Linked DNA regions of Macaca mulatta. Each later gene encodes a partner of the first gene's protein in a complex. Links are inferred from orthologs where the notes say so. Each region holds a gene or a part of one and is shown in the gene's direction. Other genes may lie near its edges. The genes, in order: ARMC8 and GID8.

Region 1 (4,271 bases):
AAACCAAGTACAGGAGGAAGACAGGAAAACAGTGAAGAGCAAAGTGAGGGAGAGGCTATCAGCTACAAGACCAGTTGGAAGGCTTTTGCTCTAGTCCAGGGGAGAGGTTACAAGAGCCTGAATTAGGGTGTGGCTATAGAAATGGAAGGAATACAAGTAATGTTAATAGGCTAATTGCAACCCTACTGTGAAAACCTTACTGGTTGCAAGCAGTACGAAGGTGAAACTTGTCCAACCAAGTCAAGGGCAGTGTTGCGCGCGCGCGCACGCACGCACACACACACACACACACACACAAAGTAGTAGGACAGCTGAATTAATCAACTATAATTAAAAGCATACTTTTATTTGGCTTCGGTTATCAGAGTGTTTTAGTGTGAAATATTTAGATATTTGCCCCCATTTTCCCCACTTAACTCAGAAGCTGGAGAAACATTAACACATATGTATAACGCTTTCCATGTTTTAGGTTTTTTCTTAGCGCTTCACATTTGTTGACTCCTTTATCCTCATTAACCTTTATTTTACAGATGAGGAAACTCAAAACATAAGGTTAGATAACTTACCCAGGGTAAAGCAGCTGAGAAGTAGCTGGGAAGAAGCTCAAGCATTCTGGCTATTCTCAACACTACACCAGAATAAACGGGGCCGACACACAACCTAAGGCAAGTCACACTTCTGTACTGGATCGTGAAACAATCACTCTTATGGTTGACAAAGGTTCTGGGATCGCAATTTCCCCACCTATAAAATGGAGATAACGACGCCGGGAGTTTGGTGCAGAGAGAGAGAGAATGAATATGAAAGTGAACTTCAAACTATGTATATGGCTCCACGTACTACTTTTTCCAAATATGAATACGGGAACCCACAAACTGCAATTTATCAGTCGGTAGAGCTCGTAGCGCCAGGGCGAGACTCCGCCTCTAGGGCCCCGCCCACCGCGAGCGGCAGGTGGGGCCGGCAGATCTTCTTTGCGCATGCGGAAACCGCTGCCCGCTCCCACCTCTAAACCAGGCTCAGAGTAGCTGCTGTTTCTGAGAGAACGATTCGTAGGACAGCCCCTGACGCGATTCCCTTTTGCCCTTCTTTCTGCGGGCCTTTCTGGTACTTGAGCGGTGTCCAGAGCGTGACCAGTTCTCGTCTATCCGGCTGTCTTTAAGGAGCGATGACTAGCGTTGGCCAATAGTTGGCTGTCGAAAGTGCCGGCCCCCGCGCCGGCGCCTGCAGCAGCCGGGTGGGAAGGCTCAAGATGGCGTGCCTGTTAGAGACCCCAATCCGCATGAGCGTCCTTTCGGTGAGTGACCCGCTGCGGCCGCCCGCCCGCCCTCCAGGGAGCCCCATCCCGGTCTCCACCATTCCCCCAAGCGTGGTGTGCCTCCTGGGCACCACCCCCTGGGGTGGTCCCCGGCTCAGTCTTGGGCCAGGGAGTGAGCGAGGGTGGACAGGCGGGATAGACGGGCAGAGGGGACCCCGGCCGAGCCAAAGACATTTCCAACTCCGGGAGCTCCTGCCGGTGCGGGTTTCCAGGATGGCGTCTGGCAGGCGGGGTAGCTGGGCTTACAGACAACTGGCCCGGCGGCGCGGCTTGGACTTTGCCAAGCGTTTCACTGAGCCTTCCTCTTAGAGATGCCGCTTCCCGGGGGCCGAGCGCTCTGCCTTGTGAAGCGCCAGGCTTGCAGCCGGCCTGGGAACGAAAGCTCACTCAGCTCTCCCGGGCTTTGGCAAGAAGAGGTGCAGGCTCCTTGGCCCCCATTTCCTCAGAGCTGCCAGGCCAAGTCTGTGCGACTTCTATTGCGTCCCAGCACCTGGGCACCGGCTGAAGCTGTTTGCTTTTTGGCAATGGTGATTCGTATCAGCTGCGACTCTTCCTAGTGTGTGTGGTTATTTAAGCCCCTTTCCTCCGCTCTGCTCAGAGGTCGCGGCTCTGAGTCAAAGGAACTCTATGTTCCCTGTGCCTGGTATTCCGTTTTTCTTTAAGGGGAGTCAAACATTGAAGGGGGGAAAAGGGGGAGAGATTTCCCCATTGTTGAAAGAAGGGAACGTATTGACATGCGAGGAAGTAAAACCTGTTTTGTTTTTTTTTAAAAAAAGTTTTTTTTAAAGAAAAAGACGACTTTCACCTTTCACTATGTTGCTCTTGAACCAGGACCAGGAATGAAAGTTACTGGGAGATAACTTCGAAGGATTTTGCAACAAATTCGAGCTGTCCGACTCTGAGAATGGTCAGTTTACCAATGGTTCATTTGCTATTGTTGGAAACAAGCAGGCACATACTAATTGACCATCTTTTAGACTTGTGGAAGCCCGTCTGATACTGAGAGGGTCGTTGGATTATAAATGACTTGTCGGGTTGCTAGAGTCTTGTAACTACAACCGGTTTCTTTTCTCTTCTCTGACTTGTCCCACAAACACCTATCTGAAAGCAGCTAGGACATTTGCTTATGATTCAGGGTTAGAGCGGTGTGGCAGACCTCAACCTTGAAAAGGCTTAAGTTGTCAATACAATAATAATTTAATTTTGTGAGCCTGTCAACAGATTTTTCCCCCGATCCATTTTAGCAGTCGTTTTTTCTTATTTTTAAACTGCAACTAAGGAAATACCGTTTACCTAAGTATTATATCAGATTAGCCTGTTACTCCATCACTGACTGTAATACCCAGGAATATTTTGTGGGAGTGCAGGCCAATGACTTTTACCTCATTATGTTAAAAAATAAAAATAAAAAAAGTGTGTGTCTTGGCTGTTCTCAGTTCCCCTTTAATTATGCATTTAGGTTTCATTTATTCTTCAGTTCACCTGAAGCTTACTTTTTGGATGTTGTCAACTTGTGTGATGCATATGATTTAAAGTTTTCATTTGTTTCACTTCCTTGGTAAATAATGTTTTCTGCTTATTCAAAAACTTCTTGAAGAGTATTTTCTATCAATACTTCTATTTACAATTTGCCTTTAGCCCTAGTCTAATTAGGGGCTTTTTTGGGGGGGGGGGGGAAGTAGGAGCTTTTGGGTAAATGATTTAAGATGTTTAAATTCACTGATTTTACTAATTTAAAGTAAAACCTGTACCTTTCAAAGTACTACCCAGAGCACCACGTTTTGAAACGCAAACTAGAACAGGAAGTATTCATCAGAAATTATCTTGAATGGTTGATTCCTTTAATAAGCTACAATGTACCAGTTATGTACAAGCTCTGCATTGTATACCTTAGAGAATGCAAGGATGAGATCAGAAATGTGTTTAAGGAGCTCCTAGTCTGAATGATGGTGTAACTTGATAAACATAATTTCAGCAAGGAGGCCTTCAAGTTGTTTTAAAGGATTTCCATTTGAGTCTCTTTATACCTTCTCCTTGGGAGATCTCATTGATTTTCTTATAACCTTAACTGATCAGTTCACACATCTACATTGCCAACCTTGACTTTCTTATACATCTAGTCTTGTATCTTAAATTGTGTGTGGATGACACCCATCGCTTCCAGCAAAGCACATTCCTTCTCCTAAGGGGAATTAGTTATGACTTCCCAATTTCTGTTAATGGTATTATCTTTTACTGATGAGTCACTGTTAAACCTCCTGAATAATCTCTGGTTCTTCCTTCTTTCATCCCCCTATATCTATCAGTTGTTAAGCTCTGTTGCTTCTTTATTCTTAGTGTTTCTCGTATCTTTCTGTTCCCATGACCACCCTCATTCAGGACCTTGTTGTTTTGTGCCTGCACTACCACAGCGTCCTTTTAGTTATTTTTACTGTCTCTAGTGTCTTACCCCCTCAGTGCAAGCCCAATGTCTACATTAATTTTCCTAAAGAACTCTGCACAGCTGCTCCTCGGTTTCTTTTCTTTATTGAGTTTGTTTTGCCTAAAGGCCCAAGTTTATATTCAGCTTCAGAGTTGAGATTCTTTATTTTCTTCTTTATCTTCTTTTTTGTTTTTTGAGATGGAGTTTTGCTCTTGTTGCCCAGACTGTAGTGCAGTGGCACTATCTTGGCTCACTGCAACCTCCGCCTCCTCAGTTCAAGAGATTCTCCTGCCTCAGCCTCCTGAGTAGCTGGAATTACAGGCACCCGCCACCATGCCCAGCTAATTTTTTGTATTTTTAGTAGCAACGGAGTCTCACCATGTTGGCCAGGCTGGTCTCGAACTCCTGACCTCAAATGATCCACCCACCTTGGCTTCCCAAAGTGCTGGGATTGCAGGCATGAGCCACAGCACCTGGCGGAGATTCTTCATCTTCTACATGAGCCTTCTATCCTTTATAAACGGGCTTTCT
Region 2 (3,809 bases), on another chromosome or scaffold:
CTAGCTCACAGCTCTCCAGCGCTACCCTTTGCACCTGGAGGAGCATCTAAACCCCTCCCTCAGCTGTTATTTTTTTCCTGTAGAAATAAATCAGAATGAGTTATGCAGAAAAACCCGATGAAATCACGAAAGATGAGTGGATGGAAAAGCTCAATAACTTGCATGTCCAGAGAGCAGACATGAACCGCCTCATCATGAACTACCTGGTCACAGGTAATGGCTTACAGCAAGGATGTTGTTGCGCGAATGTGATTCTCCCTTTTTGAACACATAAGGAGTGCTGTAGCCGTGAGGTTTGATGACGTAGTTATTTGTGTTCAGACATTATAAAAACACAATGCTAACCTGATAAGTTTGTAAATTATCATGTGAAAGATAACCTTTTCTGAAGATGAGATTATTCCAGGTCTCTGAGCCCTAACACAAACCCATTTCTCAGCCTTTGACAGTTTTATAGTTAGTCAAGATAACTGAGACTGTTGTGAAGTAAGTATATTTAAAGCCAAATTGTTAATCTCCTCTGGCCAGTCTGCTTGAGTATGGTGGCCTGTTTCCAGAAGGTATGCCCAACTCAGGACGAGAATGGGGAAGGGCAGAAGTGTGCAGAGGGAAATAAGACTCAGGCTGTTCTTGATGTTGGCTGGAGGAAGGGCAGTGCTTTATATGGTGAGAAAATAGATGTTTTTAAAAGGCATGACATGAAAAATCTCCCTCCTGTTAGTCCCCATTTCGTACTCCCAAATTAATCTCTGTGAAAATTTTTTAGGCCAAACATGGTGGCTCATGCTTGTAATCCTAGCACTTTGAGAGACAGAGGAAGATTACTTGAGCCTAGAAGTTGGAGATCAGCCTGGGCAACATAGTAAGACCTTGTCTCTACAAAAACAATTTTTTAATTAGCTGGGTATGGTGGCTTGTGCCTGTAGTCCCAGCTACTTGGGAGGCTGAGGTGGGAGGATCACTTAAGCCCGGGAGGTGGAGGTTGCAGTGAGCCAAGACTGTGTCACTGCCGTCCAGCCTGGGAGAGTGAGTGGGACCCCATCTCAAAAAAAAAATTTTTTGAAAGGTGATGAGGAAATTTAGGCCTATAATTATGTCAGGGGCAGGGGAAGGGGCACACATGCTAGCTTTAAAAAATTGTAGACACTCTTAAGAGGTGGGAGTCACCAGGCCACTGCAGGTGGAGCTGGCCATGGAGGGCTCCTGTGCTGTGGAGGCTGAGCCGGCTGTGGAGGCTGGGCCGGCTGTGGAGGCTGGGCCGGCTGTGGGGGCTGAGCCAGTGTGACTTGCCTAATCTGGCACCAGAGCTGCAGCTGCTGGCATCTGGACCTATTATCTGTCCTCTCAAAGGAGCCCACACCAACACACTAGGTCAGCAGCCATTCTGACCCCTTTGCTAACAGGTTAGAGTTTTTGGATGGGATAACAAGGTATATTCTTCTCATTTTCTGTATGTATTTTGAGAGCATGACTTGTAAATTACAAAGATACTAATACCGGGTTCCTGAGAAAGTGTGGTTCACATTAGAGGTGATTAATTGAGGCAGTTGGAGTTTCTGGAGATACAAAGTCTTTGCCTTAATTCCTTGCTCACTTTCCTAGCAGTGAAGATGGTTTTTCTTTTCAGAGGGCTTTAAGGAAGCAGCGGAGAAGTTTCGAATGGAATCTGGGATCGAACCTAGTGTGGATCTGGAAACACTTGATGAACGAATCAAGATCCGGGAGATGATACTGAAAGGTCAGATTCAGGAGGCCATCGCCTTGATCAACAGCCTCCACCCAGAGCTCTTGGACACAAACCGGTATCTTTACTTCCATTTGCAGGTAAGTTTCAGGAGAGAGCAATCTGGTTTGTGGATACTTGATAAGTTAAAGTTATTTGCAATGATCGAGAAATAACTAGGCTAATTTGCTTTAATGTTATTTTAATGCATGTGCGGGGGAGGGGTTTGAGTTTGCTCTTTTATGTAGTTCAGAAGCTATTTTTTGTTTTAAAAATGCGAATTTGATAACTCAGAGATGCAAGAAGTCTTCCCTCTGTGATGTACTTTTGATGGGGACCCTGGTACCACCTGCCCTGAGTCCCTGTCTTGGGTGTGTGTGGGTCAAGCTTGTCTGTCTCTGCCTCCAGCAACAGCATTTGATCGAGCTGATCCGCCAGCGGGAGACAGAGGCGGCGCTGGAGTTTGCGCAGACTCAGCTGGCGGAGCAGGGCGAGGAGAGCCGAGAGTGCCTCACAGAGATGGAGCGTACGCTGGCACTGCTGGCCTTTGACAGTCCCGAGGAGTCGCCCTTCGGAGACCTCCTCCACACCATGCAGAGGCAGAAGGTGGGGCCCACCAGAGGGAAGCTTTCTTCCACTCCCAGCGTGCTCCGAGAGGGCTTCGCAAAGACACCAAGTGTGTGGCTTTGTGGTGTGGACTGAGGTGGCTTCTGTGCCTGGGATGCTAAGTGGTTCCCTCATGACTTTTTTTTTGGAGATGAAGTCTTGCTCTGTCGCCCAGGCTGGAGTGCAGTGACGAGATCTCGGTTCACTGCAACCCCCGCCTCCTGTGTTCAAGCGGTTCTCCTGCCTCTACCTCCCTAGTAACTGAACTACAGGAGTGCGCCACCACGCCCAGCTAATTTTTGTATTTTTAGTAGAGACGGGGTTTCACCATATTGGCCAGGCTGCTCTCAAACTCCTGACCTCAGGTGATCCAGCCTCCCAGAGTGCTGAGATTACAGGTGTGAGCCACCGTGCCTGGCCCATCTCTGGCTTTTAATCTTTTGTCAAACTAGGGGCAACAGACTTGGTGTCCGTTGCAGAGTATTCACACCCTTTGCTGATTTCTCATGTTTATCTGAACCTTCTTCCTGTTTAGGTCCCAAGTATTTTTCATTTAAAATCCTGTTTTCTGAAACTTTTCTCTCCTCACTGCTGTTTTTGTCTGGCAGAACATGACAGCTCCTCATCTTCCCAGACCCAGGTCCCTCTTCCCCCAGGTCCTCTCCTAGGGCCCTGTCCTCCCTACACTGTCTTGGAAGGATGGCCTGTCCTAGAGTCCACTTGAGATGTTTTCTTGAGGCTTGTGAGGAGGGTGCTGGTATGTCCTGCTACGCTGGTCTTGCCTCTCCACAGTCCCCTCAGCACTTTGTTCAAGCCTTGCTCATGGCACTTAACTGCCATCGAGGCTGGATGTGACATTTGCCGACCAGACTGTGAGCTTCTCCAGGCAAGGACTATGTGTTTCATGTCCCGAGAGCGTCTTGCAGTTAAGGGCTTAATCTTTGTTTAAACTGCATATTTTTAATAGACTCTACTGGTGCTCTGCGTGTGTGGTGGTTTTTATCTGATGTATTTACATTCTAGGTGTGGAGTGAAGTTAACCAAGCTGTCCTAGATTATGAAAATCGCGAGTCAACACCCAAACTGGCAAAATTACTGAAACTACTACTTTGGGCTCAGAACGAGCTGGACCAGAAGAAAGTAAAATATCCCAAAATGACAGACCTCAGCAAGGGCGTGATCGAGGAACCCAAGTAACGCCTGCGCTTGTGTGGTGGACCCAGCACCACCCCTGCGTCGTGGGACTTGCCTCAGATCAGCCTGCGACTGCAAGATTCTCACTGCAGTAGAGAACTCTTTTTCTCCCTTGTACTTTTTTTTGACCTGGCATCTTTTTTATAGGGAAAAATGGCCTTTGTAGGCAGTGGAAAACTTGCAAGGAAAGCTGCCGTCTCTTTGGCAGTCTGATGCAGAGCCTGCACTCTGGCACTCGCTGAAGAATCTGGAAGGCTGCGGTTTGCTCTTCCAGCGTTCCGGCGGC

What was found.
Region 2: the proteins of ARMC8 (region 1) and GID8 are in contact, whole or in part, in a cryo-EM structure (PDB 7NSC), measured with the Homo sapiens proteins. The link is inferred for Macaca mulatta from reciprocal best matches to the Homo sapiens genes ARMC8 and GID8. Residues at the interface, in NP_001350870.1 of Homo sapiens: Asn45, Val47, Ile48, Gly49, Asn50, Val85, Ser89, Met92, Arg127, Arg130, Arg161, Tyr162, Tyr166, Leu200, Ser201, Tyr202; in NP_060366.1 of Homo sapiens: Ile83, Ala84, Asn87, His90, Pro91, Glu92, Leu94, Asp95, Thr96, Tyr101, Tyr183, Glu184, Asn185.

The regions. Positions count from the first base shown.
Region 1 is NC_133407.1:41,184,356-41,188,626, forward strand, and holds the start of ARMC8 (armadillo repeat-containing protein 8), read left to right. Parts: upstream 1-1,234; 5' UTR 1,235-1,252; coding exon of another isoform or gene 1,253-1,297; intron 1,298-2,094; exon of another isoform or gene 2,095-2,149; 5' UTR 2,150-2,222; coding exon 2,223-2,225; intron 2,226-4,271. UniProt on the Homo sapiens protein: Component of the CTLH E3 ubiquitin-protein ligase complex that selectively accepts ubiquitin from UBE2H and mediates ubiquitination and subsequent proteasomal degradation of the transcription factor HBP1.
Region 2 is NC_133415.1:115,762,411-115,766,219, forward strand, and holds part of GID8 (glucose-induced degradation protein 8 homolog), read left to right. Parts: intron 1-83; 5' UTR 84-95; coding exon 96-213; intron 214-1,627; coding exon 1,628-1,824; intron 1,825-2,131; coding exon 2,132-2,329; intron 2,330-3,352; coding exon 3,353-3,526; 3' UTR 3,527-3,809. UniProt on the Homo sapiens protein: Core component of the CTLH E3 ubiquitin-protein ligase complex that selectively accepts ubiquitin from UBE2H and mediates ubiquitination and subsequent proteasomal degradation of the transcription factor HBP1.